Linked DNA regions of Arabidopsis thaliana. The protein of the gene in region 1 interacts with the protein of each later gene in a pairwise test. Each region holds a gene or a part of one and is shown in the gene's direction. Other genes may lie near its edges.

Region 1 (9,823 bases):
CGCGTATCCCACCCAGACCGGACTACCCGATCCGAAGTCAACCTCGTAGAAAGGCTTTCTGCACCAGCTAGACATTATGTATCGGTCTATCTCCGTTGACTCTGACACAGTTTCCGCCATCAAACTCAACAAACTCTGACCAATTGTATTGCCTTGAAGACTCTCTTTGATCATCTCGTTGACTCTCTCTTTGTTCTTCCTGAATGTGGCCACGATTTCAGGGATCTCAAACTCGCTCTCCGCGTCTTTCTTGAGAGAAAATCCGCTTTGTAGGTTACCAATCACGTCTTTTGGCGCAACACTAGATGGAATCCTAAGTCGAATGTCCATGGCCTGCCACATGACGGCTTGCCTTGGAATTAACAAGTTAGAGCGTGAGGAGTTTCTAGCACATCTCCAGATAAGTGACATGATAGCTTCAACACGTGTAGGCACAGGGACGCTTTCGCTAGCGGCCTTGTGTTTCAGCTCAGCAATCTTAGAAGGTTCGAAGACGAATCTTTTGAGTACGTATTTACTTGTGATGTTAGAATCGGAATCCGTTGATGGGAACTGTTCATACATATGAGAAGGAGGAGGAGGATAAATAGTCGTTTCAGCGAACTCGATAGTACTGTTTGACTTCCCTTTGGCCGTGGTGGTAGCCCAGTCTTTTACAAAGGTAACCAATGAGGCTATATCACAGATTTTGTGAGAGACAGAGACAGAAACCGCCACTCCTGATCCAGACCCGAAGAAAGTGACCTTGACACTCAACAACGGCCAGGCCGCTGGAGATTCTCCAGCAGCTAGTGTCGGGAGGAATCCCGACAGGGAGTCAGTGTTGAGGTTTCTAAGGAAATCAGGAAGAAGGAGATCGGTGCGTGCCTCGGTGAAGACGGCTCCTTCGTCGTTACAGCTGATGGAAAGGCCTTCTATTCGTCCAGCTAGTGGATAGAAGCGTGAGAGAGTCTCGGACAGAGAGAGTTTCAGATTTTCCGAGAAAACCTCCGAGGACTCGGTGATGAGATCGTAGAAGAAGATCGTCGACACGTAGATTCCAGGACAATAGAGATCAAGGATAGAGAGCTGAAGGCGATCACGAGGTGATGGTGAAGCAGGTTTGATCACTTCTTTCCCGGTCACCTCTAGCTTCGCTTCCATCGTCTTCCTTTAAAAGTCAACGGGTTACAAGATTGAAGTATTGAGGAAACTTTGACAAGAGGAGAAGATGGAAGAGACAAATGGATCAGAGATGTGTCCTTTTAAACTGGTAGTTGAATCGTTGATACAAGTTTCAACTCCTATCCATGTGTCCACACTAGGAACAAAATTTAATTTAAGAAAAAATAAAGTCTGCTAACAATGTTTATTTAATTCATTCATATTAGTAAATTAAATAAAACTTCAAATGCTTAAAATAGACGACTATGTAATATTTAATTGGTGATAGTAATATAATTCGACTTCTAAACAAACAAAAAAAAACATATATTGAAGATTGATTTAATTGTATTTAAAATTTTAGAGAGCGTTTATGAATTATAAAAGGGGAAATAATTTTGAAATATATAGTTATATATATAGAAATAAAATAAAAAATCAGAAAGAAAATATAAACGTTATGAGAAAGAAAAAAGAGCAAATGATAGTGGCATATACCAACTGGTAAAACTTCTAAGAGGATTGTTTGTTAAAAGTCTCACATCGAATATGAGACTGAGCCCTAGTCCAAAAATTACTAAAATGGTCAAAATGATTTGTTCAAAAAGGGGGTATGGAACCTCACTAAAATAATAGTGGTTGCATTTTAGTAAGTGAGGTTAGACTAATGGTTGAATTTTAGTAAGCCAAAAACTTTCCATCAGTAATTGCTAATTGGATCAACTAAATGCCATCACACAAAGAAACTATTGCTGAAATTGAATATTGATATTATCAAATTTTGGTATATCTCCAACAACCATAGTCCTCAACAAACATAGAGTAAGTCTAGTTCCTAAATTTTCAATATCTAGCTGTTTTTTTCTTTTCAATATCCAACTTAGTAAACACATTGTTCAGAAACACGCCAAAAAAAAAAATCAACACATCTCAAACCATCATTATCCAGAAGGGTACAGTAAATCCAGTTCCTAGTTTTCGATTTCTAACTTCAAAAATGCTCTCTTTCTACATACACTTTTTTACAAGTCTCTATCACAGAATCGGAACATGTGGATAGAGCAATGGTTAGTAGACTCTTTTCCCCGACCACTCTTTGACGTTCCTCGATAAATCCGAACCTAATGATCAATGAACACGACGAGTCATTTATACAAAGGCAACAACAAAATGTGGTTTCTTCTCAGTTTGCTTCCTTGAAAATTTAGCTGTTATATACTAAAAGGCCTTTTGTAAGGCTAAAAGGCCAAGCCTTTGGGCCCATTAACATCACCGTTTATTCGAAACGTATGTTGTTAAGACTTGAGAGAAGTTTGACGGTGAAAAAAGGAAAATATTTACATATATATAGTAAAATTAAAATAGTAGAAAGAAAAAAATCAGAAAGCTACGAAAGAAAAAAAAAACAATCTAGCAACAGAAGAAGCTTCGAGAAGACGATGGCGACGGAGACGAACGAGAATCTGATAAACTCCTTCATCGAGATCACTTCTTCATCAAGAGAAGAAGCTAATTTCTTCCTCGAAAGTCACACTTGGAATCTAGACGCTGCCGTTTCAACTTTCCTCGATAACGATGCCGCCGCAGCCGCCGAACCAAACCCTACCGGGCCACCACCACCTTCTTCTACTATTGCCGGTGCACAATCTCCTTCTCAATCTCACTCTCCCGATTACACTCCGTCTGAAACCTCTCCCTCTCCTTCCCGATCACGATCTGCTTCTCCGTCTTCTCGCGCTGCTCCCTACGGTCTCCGATCGAGAGGCGGTGCTGGAGAGAATAAAGAAACTGAGAATCCGTCGGGAATTCGGAGTTCTAGGAGTCGTCAACACGCTGGGAATATCCGTACATTCGCCGATCTGAACCGTTCTCCGGCTGATGGCGAGGGCAGTGATTCGGATGAAGCTAATGAGTATTATACCGGTGGACAAAAGAGGTACAATTTTCAACAGATCTGATCATAGTTTGGAAAATACTTAGATGATAATACTGTTGAGAAAGTGAATTAGGGCAACATGATCATGAACTTGAGCAATGTGCGTAGATCAATGATAGTTTAGGGATTGACCATATCTTGTGTATGTAGCTGAATTGTCTTTCTTGAAATTCTTATATAGCTGGAGAAAGTGTATGTTTGTGTCGCTAATAGAGTTTTGTTTTTGGATTGTGTAATGTGTTGTAGTGGGATGATGGTACAAGATCCTAAGAAAGTGAAAGATGTTGATGAACTTTTTGACCAAGCTAGGCAGTCAGCTGTAGACAGACCTGTTGAACCATCAAGATCAGCTTCTACAAGCTTCACTGGAGCTGCGCGTTTGTTGTCTGGTGAAGCTGTTTCGTCTTCTCCTCAGCAACAACAGCAAGAGCAGCCTCAAAGGATTATGCACACCATCACTTTCTGGTTGAATGGTTTCACTGTTAATGATGGTCCGTTAAGAGGGTTCAGTGACCCTGAAAACGCAGCCTTTATGAATGTAATGTCCAGATTTTCTCTAATTAGTAACTACAATTCCATGGAAATCAAGCTTGATACTTGTCTTTACTCACTTGGATAGTCTTTGAATCCCTAATATATATGTTGTCTTTTGCAGAGCATCTCAAGGTCAGAGTGCCCCAGCGAACTCGAACCAGCAGATAAGAAGATCCCTGTTCATGTCGATCTGGTCAGGCGTGGAGAAAATTTCACCGTAAGTCTCATTCCCATCTATCAATAATAATCTCGTTAACCTATTCTCTGGAGAAGCCACTCATAGGATTCTTTTAACGTCTGTATCTTTTGACTCACAGGAACCACCAAAGCCTAAAAATCCATTCCAAGGTGTAGGAAGAACCCTAGGAGCCAGCGGATCTGGTTCAAGTTCAGCACCACAAGCTTCATCTGCCCCAATGAACGTAGCACCAGCACCATCAAGAGGGCTAGTTGTAGATCCAGCAGCACCGACAACCTCTATCCAGCTCAGATTAGCAGACGGAACACGCCTTGTCTCCAGGTTCAACAACCACCACACTGTCAGAGATGTACGTGGGTTTATCGACGCTTCTAGACCCGGTGGCTCCAAAGAGTACCAGTTGCTAACCATGGGGTTCCCTCCTAAACAATTGACAGAATTGGACCAAACCATCGAGCAAGCTGGTATAGCTAATGCCGTCGTCATCCAGAAATTCTAGACTTACATAACTCATCCCTTCGATTTATGTCTCTCTTTTTTTTTTTTTGCTTTTGTGTTTTTGAACCTGATCGTTGACTTTAGTCTCTAACTATCTGGTCAACGCTCTAGAGGCTTTGGATTTTCGTAGATTTATCAAACTCTTTTCTTCAGATTTATTAATAACTTTAGCAGTTTAGCTTTTGCATAATTTATTTATTTCTTCAATCGACTAGCTACTACCATATCTTTTAGAAAGAATAATCGAAAAAATATTATCCAATGAGCAAATTACTTATATCCTTGGACTCGTGAATTGACGAATTGACCAGCTTCTGCATAAATTCCACACACATACGCTCTCCTAATATCAGGGACATAATGGTAATTAACGTACCTGCCCATCTGTCATTTTCCTTGTTCTCTTCAAAACCTTTTTTTTGGAAAATTAATTTTATTTTTTTGTAAACAGTTCTATAATGTCTGTTATTCGGAATCCAAAGAAAGCCAGAGATATTGAGATTTACAGTGAAAATCTACAGAGGAAGAGATAGCGAAGGACAATTATTAATTTATTTTCCTATTTTAGTTTTCATTACAACCTTAATCTTCGTGTTGTGTGTTCTGTAACTTCCCAGATTTTTTTTTTCTCTTTGCTGGGCTTCGTTGCCTTTTCCCCTTTTTTTCTCTTTCCTCTGCTCTCGATTCAGTTTAGGGCGAGAAAAAGTAGCTGTTTTTACAGGGTTTATCACAAAGATCCTTCCTTTTTTACTTGAAGCTCGCCATTTTCTTAGGGTTTCTCTTGATTTCATTCATCTCCAGTGCCCAGATCTCTCTCTCTACTCATCTGCCATTTGTAAGCTCCTCTTCTTCCTCCTCTCTCCAAAGTTTACATTTTGTTGTTTTCTCTGGATCTTCTTAAGCTAATCTTTGATTCTGTTTATGAGATTGTGTTTCCGATTATGAATTTAGGCTTTGTCTACATGCAGGGCTGTGTTCAATGATTAGGGTTTTGATTTAGAACCAAAGCTTTTGGGTTTTACTGGTTTAGTTTAGGCTTGTTGCGAAGTAGAGAAAAAAAGGGAAGGGTTTTGGCCCTTTTGTGGGGAGATAATTTAGGGTTTCTGTAATTATGATCAAACAGATATTTGGGAAATTGCCCAGAAAACCTTCAAAATCTTCGCATAATGACTCGAATCCAAACGGAGAAGGTGGGGTTAATTCATATTACATTCCCAATTCGGGTATTAGTAGTATCTCGAAGCCTTCTTCGAAATCATCCGCATCGAATTCGAATGGAGCAAATGGAACTGTTATTGCTCCTTCTTCAACGAGCTCTAACAGAACCAATCAAGTCAATGGAGTTTATGAAGCATTGCCAAGCTTTAGAGATGTTCCTACCTCGGAGAAACCTAATCTGTTTATCAAGAAGTTGAGTATGTGTTGCGTTGTGTTCGACTTCAATGATCCGTCGAAGAATCTGAGAGAGAAAGAGATAAAGAGACAGACTTTGCTTGAGCTTGTTGATTATATTGCAACGGTTTCTACAAAGTTGAGTGATGCTGCAATGCAAGAGATTGCGAAAGTGGCTGTTGTTAATCTTTTCAGGACGTTTCCTTCTGCGAATCACGAGAGTAAGATTCTCGAAACGCTTGATGTGGATGATGAGGAACCTGCTTTAGAGCCGGCTTGGCCTCATCTTCAAGTTGTCTATGAGCTTCTTCTTAGATTTGTGGCCTCGCCTATGACTGATGCAAAGCTTGCAAAGAGATATATTGACCATTCATTTGTCTTGAAGCTCTTGGATTTGTTTGACTCTGAAGACCAGAGAGAGAGGGAATATCTAAAGACCATTCTTCATCGGATATACGGGAAATTCATGGTGCACCGACCCTTTATCAGAAAGGCGATCAACAATATCTTCTACAGATTCATTTTTGAAACCGAAAAGCATAACGGTATTGCAGAGTTGCTTGAGATACTAGGAAGTATAATCAACGGTTTCGCTTTACCGTTAAAAGAAGAGCATAAGCTCTTCCTAATCCGGGCATTGATTCCACTCCACAGACCTAAATGTGCATCTGCTTATCATCAACAGCTTTCTTATTGCATTGTTCAGTTTGTAGAGAAAGACTTCAAGCTTGCTGATACGGTCATTAGAGGACTTCTAAAGTATTGGCCTGTGACTAATAGTTCAAAGGAAGTTATGTTTCTTGGAGAGTTGGAAGAAGTTTTGGAAGCAACTCAAGCAGCTGAGTTTCAGCGATGTATGGTTCCTTTATTTCGTCAAATCGCTAGATGCCTCAACAGTTCACATTTTCAGGTGCGACTCTCGATAAGTTGTTCATATAGTCTCGCAATTTTGCAGGTTATATTCAAAGTTGCTTCTTTTGTCAGGTGGCTGAAAGGGCTCTATTTCTATGGAACAACGATCACATAAGAAACCTGATTACTCAAAACCATAAAGTGATAATGCCCATTGTGTTCCCGGCTATGGAGAGAAACACACGGGGGCATTGGAACCAAGCAGTTCAGAGTCTGACTTTGAATGTGAGAAAGGTAATGGCAGAGACAGACCAAATTCTGTTTGATGAATGCTTAGCCAAGTTCCAAGAAGATGAAGCGAATGAAACCGAGGTTGTAGCCAAACGAGAAGCAACATGGAAGCTTTTGGAAGAGTTAGCAGCTTCGAAATCCGTAAGCAACGAGGCAGTGCTCGTCCCCCGATTTTCATCTTCAGTTACTCTTGCAACCGGTAAAACTTCGGGTAGTTGAACACTTTCTGCTCTCTATCACCGAGACATACTTTCAAACAATCCAGCAGAATTGTATCGATCCGTTCGAGCATCAGGATCAGTCCTTGAAGAAGATTAAGCACGATGATTAAGAAGGGCAATATCATCAGTGAATACTTAATTATAACATTTTTTTCAGGTTTATGGAATCATGGGTTCAATTGTTTGTTGCTTCTGATCCTTTTTTTTTCTTACTCAGCTCTTAGTTGAATAACAATCTGAGGTGTAAGAAATATGGCTTATAGATATAGTTCTTGAGAGGACGACTAAACAATTATTCGTATTTGTATTGTGGAATGAATTGTATTTTATGCTTTGAAGTTCATTAATTTAGCTCCCCTACTAACCAAATCATAACCGAAGTTATCGAATCTCGGTTTGGTTCGGTATATATGCAACGGCATTTTCGTAAACAAGTCATGTTTTTTTTCGTGTGAGTTTTAGAAAATACAAAAATCATATATAACACTAGATTTTAATTTAAAGTTAGTATAATTTTTTTTTTGCAAATTGTATCTATCTATAATATATTTTTATTTTATAGTTTACAATTGTTATTAAGTAACGTCCTGCCAAACCCGTCCCGCCAAACCTGTCCTGTAAAAAAATCATTTATTTATATTAATATTGATCTTATTTATGATATGTTTATAAATCATTCTCTAAATATTTTTGTCGATGCAGGACATTGAACCCACACATTGTTTGCCAATTGGTTAATATATGTTCATTTTTAAAATTTTGAATCATAAAATGTGACAGAAAAAATTAAGATTTTTTTAAACTCTATATATTATATAATGATGTTAAAAAATTGTGATATATCAAACTTTTTATAAGTTTAAATATTAATAATGTTTTATAAATTTTAAATATATAAATAATAATATTTAAAAAATTAATATTTTTGCTTATAAGGTAATGACATAATAACTCTAAAAGCAAGGATTTAGAAGATTTAAATCTTTAATTAAATATTTTCATTAATAAATAATTAATGTCAGTGACATGACATTGTAAATAAGTTTAAATACAAAATTTATTTATTTAAACAAAAAACGGTTAGTAAGAATAATATTTATTTAACAAAAAACTTTGTTTTAAAATATTGTTAACAAATGTCTATGCTAATTTTAAGGGATTGATTTGAATTTTGTTGGGATTAAATTTGATTGATAATGTGATTGACTATTTAAATCAAAAATTTAAAATAAAATTAATTATTTTGGAAAAAAGATTTAATGCTAATGGCATTAGATTGTAAATAAGTTCAAGTCCAGGATTTATTTGCTAAAATGGTTGCAAAAATGTATATATAGATAGTGTAAAAATAAATTGAATTACCGATGTATTTTTAAAAAAAATCGTGAAATCTAATTTATTTACGGAAAAATATTACCACATTATTTTTGCAAATATTGTGTATGGTAATGAATCCAATCCATTATTCTAATTTGTTCTTAGTCAATGAGTGGTATTCAATTTCATTGTCCCGGTCCCACGGACTGACTACTCAGCAACCCAATCTTACAAAGTCAAAGTCAACTTTTATTTTGTTTCTCTTTTTTTCCGTTTCCATCCCAAATTCATTTCTTTATAAATTATTTATTCCTAAAAGGATTTGTAAATTAACCTAATTTGCATTTCAAAATATTTTTATCTATTTTAGTATTAAATTGGAATAATTGTTATTTTTGTATTAAAAAAACACTAATATCCAAAATTGTTATATTGCTTTTTATTTTGCTTTTTTCTATTTTTAATTTCTATTTTTTAATAGCATCGCCGTATCGTCGCATCGATACTCGGATTTAGTAAATAAGTGTTTTTTAGCAAGAGTTTATGCAAGTCCGCTTCGATTAAAGTATCTAAACCAAAATCCAAACACGTGGGAGTTTCCGTTTTAATTTCTAGTTATATTATACCCTTCGTTATTTAAGATATAAAACAGCAATTTATTATCACTAATTGATAAAACCTTCATTGCAAATATAAACTAGATTTTAAAAATAAAATTTGACTTTTAAAATACAATGTAATATTATTAATGATATAAAAACAAAAAACCTAAAATGGTATTGAAGTGTCAAACAGAGGAAGTATATGATATATATGTAATTAACTAGTCAAAATCTGCTGTGATAACGACCAATTCTAAACAATTATAAAATCTTCTAAAAATTAATGAGAATCTACTATATTTAATAACTAAAATAATAGAAGGATGACAATTGACAACTATAACAATATTGAAGAAGTCATACCAAATATATTAAGACGTGTATAAAAAGGGTATCATAACCGAAGACTTAAGATGAACAAGACACAAACACAACAGAAACTTAACCAAAGACATATCTCTCTCTCCTCAAACCCACCTCTTGTCTCTATGGGATCGCAACTCTCAAACGCAATCGACGGTAAAGATAACACCAAAACCATCGGATCAGCGGATCCGGACCAGCTTATGGAGATCGAATCCTTGGAGAAGATCTTAAATTACAAGTTCAAAGACAAGAGTTTGTTGCTGAAAGCGTTCACAGACGCTAGTTACGTTGATGACAAGAGTGAATCGTACGAACTCCTAGAACTTTTAGGAGATTCGATCCTAAATATGGGTATAATCTATGATTTTATTAAGCTCTACCCTAAAGAAGCACCTGGTCCGTTGACCAAGCTCCGAGCCGTCAACGTAGATACCGAGAAATTGGCACGGGTCGCTGTAAATCACCAACTCTA
Region 2 (12,301 bases), on another chromosome or scaffold:
CGGTTTATGTTCGGATTAATATCAGTTATTCGGTTTCAATCGGATGTTAAATATCATATCCATACCGATCCGAAATCCAAAATATCCAAACCGAAACCGATCCGAATTTTATAATTATCCGTATGGATATTAGAATCTATATCCAAACAAACCGAAATTCGAAAAAATCGAACCTAATCCGATCCGATAACCGAACGCCCAGATCTAACACAAATCTTAGCAATACTTTCTCAAATAAAAGATTTTACAAAATAAAATATGATGGATCAAATACGCAAATAGTTATGTGAGTACAACAGAGATCATACTAGTTGTATTTTAAAAAGAGTTGTAATTGTAGCTTGAACAAAAATTTCATATAAAAATTAGTCTTAAAATATATACTTAAAATCTATGATTATTAATTTATAATATTATTGGGACTATAATTTTACATAGGGATTTCAAAAAAATTATTATCTTATTATCTTATCGATTTTGGTTAATTTTTACATTGTCCCGACTTGAGACTTGCAAAATTTATTAATTTATCGTGTTTATTAATTTATCGAGTATTAATTTATAGAGTTTCTATTGGATAGAGTTTTTAGACCGAAAAAGAAGAAAGACGATTAAAAATGAAGAACGGTTTGATAACAACCTAGCTATTTCTAGATCTACTAATCATATATTTCCTGAGAATACCCTAAGCTTGACGCTTTTATTATCTTAATTTACATCCTCATAATGTATTATTTGCTTTCTTGTTTTATTTTATTTTCTTACTTATTTGTTTAGCTTATTCGAAACTATTAGTCTATTGTGTGATTCGAGAGTTTTGTGGAATTCGACCCTAATGTACTACAATCGATCTCTTATTTGAGAGAGTGGTCTTATAATTAATTAGACCTTCATTTCCAATACGTTAGCCACGAGAGCATAACTGAGGAAGTCGTGGAGAATCTTAGGATGAGATTTGTTGTCGACATCTATCAGGAGTTTGTTCAGGCTCTCCGTGTTTGATGCCCATTTCAATATTTTTGTTTAAGAATTTATGTCTTTTGTAATTTTTATTTATTCTACTTTGTTTTCTACTTAGATGCCACTTTATTTGTAGTTCTATAACTCTTATCTTTGTATGTAGTCTTAATTAGCACTAGATTTTAACCCGCGGTACTATATTTTTCTAGAAAAAATCAAACTGTAATTTTCTTAATTAATTAATATTATTATATAACCTATTGTTTTGTATTTTTCTCAATGTACAAAACTATATGATGTGCAATTTTTTTTTATTAGTAAATATAATAATATTAGATTTCATAATTTTTTATTTAGTATTAAAGTTAATAATTTTTTATTAGTGCTGGAAAAAAAGAAACTGAGGCTGATAAAATATTAAAATTACATTTAAACCGTGTTATTACTTTGGGTTGATGATACTATAAATTTGTAATAATATCAATCCAAACCCGTCCCATCATATAACTCTAAATTGATATCATTAAGATTTTTGGGTTAACATATTGAATATTTTTTCAAAACTAATTGACATTGCCAACATAGAAACATTAAAATCGAAATTACAGTAAAATGGTAACTTTTTACTCGATATCACAAAATCCAGTAGATAATATTCAAGAAAATGAAACATGACCACTTTAACTTTTTTTTTTTTTTTATAACACGATGACCACTTTAACTTTTTTTTCTTTATGTGAGAATAATACAAAATAAACCAAATAAATAATACAAAATATGACCATAATATCAAACCTTGCACGATTATTTGATAATGTGATGGTTTATTTGAAATCTACATATACATTTTTGCAGCCACTTTGTGAAATAAATCTTCAAGTTGAGACTTATTTACAGTGGCTGCCACCGGCATTTAATAATTGTTTTTGATAATTAGAAAGTAAATCTTCGAATTAAATATTTGCATTTAACTACCTTTCCAAAATCTCTCTGCATTAACTATACGATTAATTACTAAAATAAAATTTCCAAAATATTTAATATCATTTAAATACTACAAAATTATCATTTTTGATATTGCTTTTTTTTTATGACTATAACAATTCGATTATAAGCAGCAAACCGTAAAGATATTTGATAGCAATTAATTACTACAAAATTATAAAATATTTAGACAATGATTCATAAACATATCATAAATAAGATCAACATTAATAAAATAAATAGTTTTTTTTACGAGACGGGTTGGCGGGACGGGTTTGGCAGGAAGCTACTTAATAACAATTGTAAACTATAAAATAAAAATATTTTATAGATAGATAAAATTTGTAAACTTTTATATATACTAACTTTAAGGAAATAAATTGTCTCCGCGGTATACCGCGGGTTAAAATCTAGTTAATTAGTGTTATCGACTCATGATTAAATATATAGAATTGATATAAACTGAACAAGATTTCAAAAGTATTCATATGAAAAGAATTAAAAAAAAAAGCATAAATTAAAGCAGTATTTAAGTCAATACTTTTAGATCTTCTCTCATTGCATATATCAATATAAGAGAAATGATCGTGTATTAAATTATTTGGTAAGTCTAACGTTTTAAAGGTTTATTATTTGAAAAAACTTGAGTGTCAATGTTATCAAAGACTCAAAATAAAATTACTAAACTAATAAGAGGTTAGGTAACGAACAAGTACAACACAAAAAAATTAGTAAAATAAAAAGAGTATAATAAAAGTAGTGCTTAATTTATTAACATAATTTTTTATTTTATTTTTATCTTGAAAAAATCAATTAAGAGTAGGATTGATGATACATTTAATTTGCTTATTTAATATGATTAATATTTTAATTTAAAAAATATAGAATGACACATGTCATTTTTTTGTGTGATGATGTGTCATTCATATGGAAAGAGTTGGCCAACTTTCATATATATGATTAGATTTCTAAATGATCATTGCCGTAATATTAGTAAAGATGTGTCCAGTGTTTTAGCAATTTTTACCAAACTAATTTTGATTTACATCTTTAATTAAATATTTCATTTATTAATAATTAATGTCAATAGCATGACATTGTAAATAAGTTCAAGTACAAGATTTATTTGTTAAAGTAGCTGAAAAATGTATATGTAGATTTTAGATCTCTAAATAAGATTAACATAAGAAATCTGTATCGGTCTAACTAATGATGAATCGCGAAGGACAACGTTAGAAAACTAATGACGAAAATATGTTCATGAGAATAATATATACTAAACTAATAAGAGGTTTGGTAGCAAACAACTACAACACAAAAAAAAGTCATTATCTAGTAGTGATTATTGATAATAAAAATTTAATAAAATAAAGAGTATAATGAAAGTAGTGCTTAATTTATTAACATAATTTTTTTTTATTTTATTTTGAATCAATTAAGAATAGGATTAATCATACATTTAATTTTAGAGTATTTATAATAAATGACTATAGATTTGAAAAGAATGTACAAACTAACCTTGAGTCACAGTATCTTGTCGGAAACATGTTGGAGAACACTTGTTATTTTCTCTTATTACATAGTATTTATAAAAAGCACATGCTATTTTTTGGAAAAAACATTGTATTCAGTTTAATATATCTTTTTATCATGATATTTTGTAGTAATACACGTTTTTTATTGAGATCACACGTGATTTCTTTAAAAATATTCTTATTTTTTAGTAATACATGGTTTTTATTAAAATCACATATAATTTTTGTTTTAAGATTCTGTTCATGTAAAAGAATTTCATAATAATGTTTTAAAAAAAAAAATTCATAACGTATTATGAAATAGCATGTTTTTAAACTAAATATAACATGTGAAATTTTAATGTTACATGATATTTTGAAAAATTACACGGATGTGTTTCGTTTACTTTTCATCTTACAACAAATAAAGGATAGCTTTATTATTTCCTTTCTTCCGACAACGTGGGTCCATGGTTATTTTGTAACAAAAAACTTTATCTCTGCTAGTTTCTTAATTTGTATGTTTTATTTGGTTATCTACTAATATTACCTTTAATTTTATTATTTTTTAAATTTAAAAATATAGAATGATATATGTCAAACTTTTGTGTGATGCTTTTGTGTGATGGTGTGTCATTCATATGGAGAGTGTTGACCAATTTTCATATATATATGATTATATATTAAGAAACTATATATTACGTTGTCTTTTTCAAACAGGTAAAAATGTTATGAGATTTATTTGATTTTTAAGTAATTATTTAAATTAAAATAAATAAAAATATATATTATTTTAATAATAGGGGCTAAATAGAAATTATGTGGAGGAGAGGGGCTGCGTAGATTAAAATCCAAAAAATACCGTAAACAAAAAAAAATATTCCCTTGCGAGAGAGGGAAGATTGACTTATTGGCACGCAGCCCTAGGCATTTTCGTTTCGTCTCCACACGCCTCTCTCTCTCTCTCGCTTCTTCAATCATTCATCACTCCGACGTCAGATTCAAAATCCTCCATGATCGATCCCAATTGATCAATCAATAACCTTATCTTCTTCATCTTCTCTGTCAGTATCTGAATCTGCATCTGGAAGCGTGATTTCATCATCATGTATTTAACCGCTTCATCTTCCGCTTCTTCCTCCATCATCCGAGCTGCTTCTTCTCGCTCTTCTTCTCTTTTCTCTTTCCGATCGGTTTTATCTCCCTCCGTTTCATCTACTTCTCCGTCGTCTCTTCTCGCTCGTAGATCTTTTGGTACCATTTCCCCTGCTTTCCGTCGCTGGAGCCATTCCTTTCACTCGAAACCATCTCCGTTTCGCTTCACCTCTCAGATCAGAGCTGTTTCTCCAGTCTTAGATCGTCTCCAGAGAACCTTCTCTTCCATGGGTAAAATATCTCGATCTGATTGATCTAGCTTGAGTTTTTTATTCCGATCTCTGTTGATTAGTAGTAACTGTTTTGTGATTATGATTGTTTCAGCGTCAGAGCATCCGTTTAAAGGGATCTTCACTACACTTCCTAAGCCTGGTGGTGGTGAATTCGGAAAGTTCTATAGCTTACCTGCTCTTAACGATCCACGAGTTGGTATGGATTTTTTGAATCTCTCTTTGAATGAGTTTATGAAGGACCTGAGAATCTGAAGAGGAGTGTTGTATTTGCAGATAAACTTCCTTACTCTATTAGGATTCTGCTTGAATCTGCGATTCGTAATTGTGATAACTTTCAAGTTACTAAGGAAGATGTTGAGAAGATTATTGACTGGGAAAAGACATCTCCTAAACAAGTAGAGATTCCTTTTAAACCAGCTCGTGTTCTTCTTCAGGACTTTACGGGAGTCCCAGCTGTTGTTGACCTTGCTTGTATGCGTGATGCGATGAATAAGCTGGGAAGTGATTCCAACAAAATCAATCCCTTGGTATGTTTTTGTTTGCCACAGATTGATGCTTTTTGTTTAGGTTAGGGTTCTTTTAGATTTCTTATGTTATACTGTGTCTCTCAGGTTCCGGTGGATCTTGTGATTGATCACTCGGTTCAAGTAGATGTAGCTCGATCAGAGAATGCAGTGCAAGCAAACATGGAGCTTGAGTTCCAGAGGAACAAGGAGAGGTTTGCTTTCCTTAAATGGGGTTCTACTGCGTTCCAGAACATGCTTGTTGTGCCTCCTGGCTCTGGTATTGTGCATCAGGTAATTCTCTTTTTTAAAGTGTGCGAGTCCATAAGTTGTTTCTAAACTTGTTCTGACATTGATATATATCCTTTTCAACCTCATGTTTCCAGTGTATTGAAATGTTTCTTTTCATTTATTATCTTCTTTTATCTGTCTTGAAGTTTGTCTCAAACTAACCTCATCTTGAAAATTCAGGTCAATTTGGAATATCTTGGAAGAGTTGTGTTCAATACCAAAGGCCTTCTCTACCCAGACAGCGTGGTTGGAACTGATTCACATACAACTATGATTGATGGTTTGGGAGTTGCTGGATGGGGTGTTGGGGGTATTGAAGCTGAGGCAACAATGCTTGGCCAGGTAAATTATTTTGATTATTTACATGACGCACATCAGATGTTGGTTAATCTGGAGTCAACTTTACTGAATTTTAGATTAGATCACTATATTTTATGACTCTTCTGCTCCAATACAGTGAGGTTTGTGAATTTTTCTTATACTGATAACGCTTTTTTGGTTTGACAGCCCATGAGTATGGTATTGCCTGGTGTTGTTGGATTCAAACTTGCCGGAAAAATGCGTAATGGTGTAACAGCTACTGATTTGGTTCTAACAGTGACTCAAATGCTGAGGAAGCATGGCGTTGTTGGAAAGTTTGTTGAGTTTTATGGTAATTATATCCTTGTGAGCTCTTAAGTGTTTTGCTCTTTTATAATAGACATGTGTTTGTTGGAGCATTATAAGTCTACTTTTTTCTTCTTAGGTAATGGCATGAGTGGGCTGTCCCTAGCTGACAGGGCGACAATTGCCAATATGTCTCCCGAGTATGGTGCAACCATGGGCTTCTTCCCTGTGGATCATGTTACTCTACAATATCTCAAATTGACTGGAAGAAGCGATGAGACAGTGAGTGTTTGACTTTAATCTTCCTTCTATATATATTCAGATATCTGGTCTGATACAATACTTTCATGGCAGGTGGCTATGATTGAAGCATATCTTCGGGCTAACAATATGTTTGTTGACTACAATGAGGTAAATTAGCCTTATACTTTCTTTCTTTTTTTGTTTCTTAATCTCCTTTCAGGTTTTTATTTGACTTTGCTTGTGAATAAATTTCAGCCTCAGCAAGACCGGGTTTACTCGTCATATCTAGAACTGAATCTGGATGATGTTGAACCTTGCATTTCTGGACCAAAGCGGTATGGGTTCTGTTGGTTTTTGTAATCGCGAAGTTTATTGTCTGAATAATTGGTCATGACCATATTATTGATATCTTCTTTGCAGGCCACATGATCGTGTTACTTTGAAGGAAATGAAAGCTGACTGGCATTCATGTCTTGACAGTAAAGTTGGGTTCAAGGTATGTAACTGGATGTTTCACTTTGTGGATGTCTAATCTCTTAACCATTTACTCGTTCTATAGACTGGGTTGTTGGTGCACATTTTGGAAATCAATGTTTATTTCTGAATATTGCTATTCATTCTCCGCAGGGTTTTGCTATACCTAAAGAGGCACAAGAAAAAGTGGTAAATTTTTCGTTCGATGGACAACCAGCAGAGCTTAAACATGGAAGTGTGGTGATTGCTGCAATCACAAGCTGTACTAATACATCAAATCCCAGCGTCATGCTTGGTGCTGGTCTTGTTGCAAAGAAGGCTTGTGACCTTGGGCTACAGGTTGGTTTCACGAGAGCAAACTAGAAATCTATCTGATGCCTCGACATTTTCTGATCCCTTTTTCAAAAACTTGCCTCTGTAGGTTAAGCCTTGGATAAAGACAAGTCTTGCTCCAGGCTCAGGAGTTGTTACAAAATACTTATTAAAGAGGTATGTCGTATTTTTATCTAGTTCTTCGTTGTTAAAGGCTAATTCTTTCTTATGTGATGGTAAATTTAAGTGTAACATCTTACTCCATGCAGTGGATTGCAAGAATATCTGAATGAACAGGGTTTCAATATTGTCGGCTACGGGTGCACTACATGCATCGGGAATTCTGGGGAAATTAATGAATCAGTGGGAGCTGCTATTACCGAAAATGGTATTATTGAGATTCCCAACTAAACTTACTTTGGACTTTCCATCCTTTATATTACTATTATATATAAGTAAGTAGCTGATTTGTTTTCAATATTTGTGTTGCTTGGTTTTAGACATTGTGGCGGCTGCTGTGCTATCCGGTAACAGGAACTTTGAGGGGCGTGTTCATCCACTAACAAGAGCCAATTACCTTGCATCTCCTCCGTTGGTGGTTGCCTATGCTCTTGCTGGCACGGTAATAAATCTTGAGAACTTGTCAAAGTTCAACTTACATTTTGTATGAGATAATGACACATGACTGATTATCACATTGGTAATTTTGGCGTTCTTCTTTCTTATTTTCCAGGTTAACATTGACTTTGAAACGGAGCCTATTGGCAAAGGAAAGAATGGCAAGGACGTCTTCTTAAGAGATATCTGGCCAACCACGGAAGAAATTGCTGAGGTATATACGACTTAACCAGAGAACAATAACATCTTTTTTATACACAAATATTAAACTAATCTTTTGACATATGGATCAGGTTGTTCAATCCAGTGTTTTGCCTGACATGTTCCGAGCAACGTACGAGTCAATCACCAAGGGTAACCCCATGTGGAATAAGCTGTCTGTTCCTGAGAATACCCTCTACTCATGGGATCCCAACTCAACTTACATTCACGAGCCTCCATACTTCAAGGACATGACCATGGATCCTCCTGGTCCACACAATGTGAAGGATGCTTACTGTTTACTCAATTTTGGGGACAGTATCACCACTGATCACATCTCACCAGCTGGAAACATCCAAAAGGACAGTCCTGCTGCAAAGTTTCTCATGGAGCGTGGCGTTGACCGTAAGGACTTCAACTCATATGGAAGTCGCCGTGGGAATGATGAAATAATGGCCAGAGGTACTTTTGCTAATATCCGTATCGTTAACAAGCTCATGAATGGTGAAGTTGGCCCTAAGACTGTTCACATTCCATCTGGAGAGAAGCTCTCAGTCTTTGACGCTGCCATGGTTTGTATTTATCTAATTAAAATTTGTATTACTGACTGTATGTTGATCATGTCGAATGTCTCCTTATCATAATGTCAAATGTATCAGAGGTACAAGTCATCTGGTGAAGACACAATTATTCTGGCTGGAGCTGAGTATGGAAGTGGTAGCTCACGTGATTGGGCTGCCAAGGGACCCATGCTACAGGTTTAGAACCGCTTCTCTAGTTTCTTTCCGCATAAACCAATCTTACTGTTTTATTCTGAAACAACAAGTTTGGGATTGTCAGGGTGTTAAAGCGGTGATTGCAAAGAGTTTTGAGAGGATTCACCGAAGCAACTTGGTGGGAATGGGAATCATCCCATTGTGCTTTAAGTCCGGTGAAGACGCAGATACTCTTGGATTGACTGGTCACGAACGCTACACGATCCATCTCCCAACCGATATCTCAGAGATAAGACCTGGCCAAGATGTTACCGTCACTACCGACAACGGAAAATCTTTCACTTGCACAGTCCGCTTCGACACAGAGGTAACTAAATACTCCAATCTTTAGTGAAAAAAAGCTTTTCAATGTGAAGGAACTAATAATGGTAAAATAAATGTGCAGGTGGAATTGGCATACTTTAACCATGGAGGCATACTTCCATATGTTATCAGAAACTTGAGCAAGCAATAGTGAAGGAAGCAATACACAAGTTATGGAGCAAAATAAAAGAGTGTTTGTTTCTGTTTTAAAATGTCTTTTTTAAAAGGCAGATAAGTCTGTCTAGGATTAGGTTAAAAGGTGAGTGATCTCATGCAATATATGAGTTTCAGTGGGTTATTCTTACACGCTTAGGCTCCCATGTTTCGCAACTTGCAAGAGTTGAATATTATTGTTTTTGAAAAGGAATAAGAGAGCCTTCTTGCATATTCCCATTACTGACTCCCAAAGACCTCGCAATCTGTTGCATTTCACAAGCGTATTCAGCAGCATCTATACCAATTCTCAGATCATGTTCAAGAACACCTGCTCTATTCAAATCTACTTGCACCATTAGAGTAACCAACTAATACATAAGAAACACAAACATCTTGCAGCTGAAGCCTAAAACCAATACAAGAATCTGATAAAACCAAACTGAAACTTGTCATAAATTCCATATGAACCTGAGAGTAATCTCCTGTGTCTGAATGAAGTAACTTGCCAGCATCTTCTTCCATATGAACCCTAGTAATACCAAAATCTCCTATGTCCACCACCAAACTCAAGAGGAATATCCAAATCTGATAACCTTGAAGAAGATCTGGATAAAAATACTGCTTCCTATCGAATTTAGACTTAAGAGACAAATCACAATTCAAAGCTAACCCCAATAACCCACTTTTTTAATAGATTTCCTTTCTTTCTTTCTGATCCATCTCGTTTACTTTGCTATAAATAAGAGCTTTGGTAAGCCAAACCTTCTTGTCTTCTAAGTGAACTAGTCTTGTCACGAGCTTCTTCTAGATCTTGTTTCAAAAGTTTGTTTATACCAATGGGTCCAACAGAGCTTAGAGAGGCTAGAATAGAAATTACCAAAGATTTTATAAAGAGAGCTGCTCTAAGGATTCAGCGTGAAAATCGGCGAAGGAATGATCCAGATGAAGATAAAAATGCTGAGACTAAATTGGCTTTAAAGCATTGTAAAGACATGGTTCTTGGTTCTAGTAAATTTGGGGATGATCGTCCTCTTACTGGTTGCTCCTTATCACGAGATGGAAAAATACTCGTCACATGTTCTCTTAGTGGGGTTCCTAAATTGTGGGAGGTGCCTCAAGTTACAAACAAGATTGTTGTCTTGAAAGGTCATAAAGAACATGTAACTGATGTAGTGTTCTCGTCTGTGGATGATGAATGTCTAGCAACTGCTTCTACTGATCGAACTGAAAAGATATGGAAAACGGATGGAACACTTCTACAAACTTTTAAAGGTCATTCAGATCGTCTTGCACGCATTGCATTCCACCCGTCATAGTCGTAGTGTTGAGATGCCTCCGGACAACGAGTTTTGATAAAACATGGAGATTGTGGGATATAAACATAGGAGTTGAGATGCTTTAACACAAGAAGGTCATAGTCGTAGTGTCTACGGAATTGCATTTCAACAAGATGGATCATTAGTAGCTTCTTCGGGTTTTGATTCGCTTGCAAGAGTTTGGGATCTTCGTACGGCTAGGAATATTCTTATCTTCCAAGGACATATCAAACAGGTTCTCTCGGTGGATTTCTCTCCTAATGGTTATCATTTGGCATCTGGTGGTGAAGATAATCAATGCCGTATTTGGGATCTACGGATGAGAAAGTTGTTGTATATTATACCAGCTCATGTGAACCTCGTTTCTCAAGTAAAGTACGAACCACAAGAACGCTATTTCCTGGCTACTGCCTCACACGACATGAACGTTAATATATGGTCAGGTAGAGATTTCTCGCTTGTTAAAAGCTTAGTAGGACATGAGTCAAAAGTCGCATCTCTTGATATCGCTGTAGATAGCTCGTCTCGCAAGTGTTTCGCATGACCGCACCATAAAGCTTTGGACATGCTGTGGGAATGATGAAGATAATGGGAGAGAAACAATGGACATAGAACTCTAGTTTGTTTTTGAGTTATTTACATTTTACACTCTCACATACTTTTTCATCTTTCATTTTACACTCCCACACTTTCATCTTCCAAAACAATTTTTTTCCTGTGTTATTACCGAAACGCCCCCAACTACATACCATACACTTTTATCTTTCAAAAATAACGGTCCTCTTTTTTTTTTTCTCTCTCTCATTCTCTCTCTTATTATTATTTTAGTTACTTAATATAAAGTGTTTTGTCTGTTTTCTTATATAATAAATCAAGAATTCATTTTTCCTACATTTTAAGATCCATTGTTACTATATTTTAAGTAAATAATTATATGACAGTTTATCCATTTCCGATCGAACATTTGTTTACTATTAAATGGATTTTAAAAGGTACTTGCACAAATATACTATACCGATATTTATAACTACTGATCATCCAAACATGTGAAAGAAAGTGAATGCAAAGCTTGAAAAAACAAAAATGCAGATGTATTAATTCAAGCGTTCTGATCTGATCTGATTCAAATAAAAGAGAAGAACATGACAAGTAAGATGTCCATCAAAGATTGTATATATGGATGATGGCAAGTATGTTGACTATTCAGTGTTATTAAGTATGTTTAGTGAACTTGATCTAAGCAATATCCTTTGACCATCTAAGTGGATAAGTGTTTATGGACAAGTGTTAATGGACAAGTATTTATGGCCGAAACTAAGTAGATGAACTGAAAGTGTTTAGAGAACCTTAAATCTATTATGGTGTTGCTGGTTGTGATGGTTTCCCAAGCCTGCAACAAGTCTTGATGATTTTCAATTGGCCGACGATATATATGGTTTTCACAAAGCATATACAGTTATCCAAACTTACTTTTATTTGTGTGTTTTTAAGCTGGTGGTTCTTTAAGTCATCCATTTGTTCGAATCTAGTAGACTAGTACATGGACGATATGAACATGTTGAAACAAACAATTGTTCACAATGTCATGGATGATATGGTTATTAATGAATCAAATCAGATCAGAACTCTTGAAATAAATTTGCATTTTTGTTTTTT

Evidence for each region.
Region 2: the proteins of ATB' GAMMA (region 1) and ACO3 interact in a two-hybrid assay, tested with the Arabidopsis thaliana proteins (one study listed by BioGRID).

What each region holds. Positions count from the first base shown.
Region 1 is NC_003075.7:8,812,286-8,822,108, forward strand, and holds ATB' GAMMA (Protein phosphatase 2A regulatory B subunit family protein), read left to right. Parts: upstream 1-4,636; 5' UTR 4,637-4,673; intron 4,674-4,745; exon of another isoform or gene 4,746-4,761; 5' UTR 4,762-5,145; exon of another isoform or gene 5,146-5,278; 5' UTR 5,279-5,421; coding exon 5,422-6,612; coding exon of another isoform or gene 6,613-6,686; coding exon 6,687-7,064; 3' UTR 7,065-7,442; downstream 7,443-9,823. Other genes in the region: BIA1 (HXXXD-type acyl-transferase family protein), read right to left, coding at 1-1,143; PUX5 (serine/threonine protein phosphatase 2A 55 kDa regulatory subunit B prime gamma), read left to right, coding at 2,583-3,079, 3,326-3,617, 3,735-3,830, 3,931-4,311; RTL1 (RNAse II-like 1), read left to right, coding at 9,399-9,823.
Region 2 is NC_003071.7:2,137,027-2,149,327, forward strand, and holds ACO3 (aconitase 3), read left to right. Parts: upstream 1-4,302; 5' UTR 4,303-4,564; coding exon 4,565-4,844; intron 4,845-4,937; coding exon 4,938-5,042; intron 5,043-5,119; coding exon 5,120-5,373; intron 5,374-5,457; coding exon 5,458-5,643; intron 5,644-5,820; coding exon 5,821-5,982; intron 5,983-6,147; coding exon 6,148-6,292; intron 6,293-6,385; coding exon 6,386-6,528; intron 6,529-6,600; coding exon 6,601-6,657; intron 6,658-6,744; coding exon 6,745-6,824; intron 6,825-6,909; coding exon 6,910-6,985; intron 6,986-7,116; coding exon 7,117-7,302; intron 7,303-7,384; coding exon 7,385-7,452; intron 7,453-7,544; coding exon 7,545-7,663; intron 7,664-7,775; coding exon 7,776-7,897; intron 7,898-8,008; coding exon 8,009-8,107; intron 8,108-8,186; coding exon 8,187-8,666; intron 8,667-8,753; coding exon 8,754-8,852; intron 8,853-8,934; coding exon 8,935-9,177; intron 9,178-9,255; coding exon 9,256-9,324; 3' UTR 9,325-9,652; and 1 more. Other genes in the region: AT2G05720 (Transducin/WD40 repeat-like superfamily protein), read left to right, coding at 10,166-10,601, 10,795-11,189. UniProt on the Arabidopsis thaliana protein: Catalyzes the isomerization of citrate to isocitrate via cis-aconitate. Contributes to oxidative stress tolerance. Modulates cytosolic citrate metabolism during lipid mobilization. Required during seedling growth.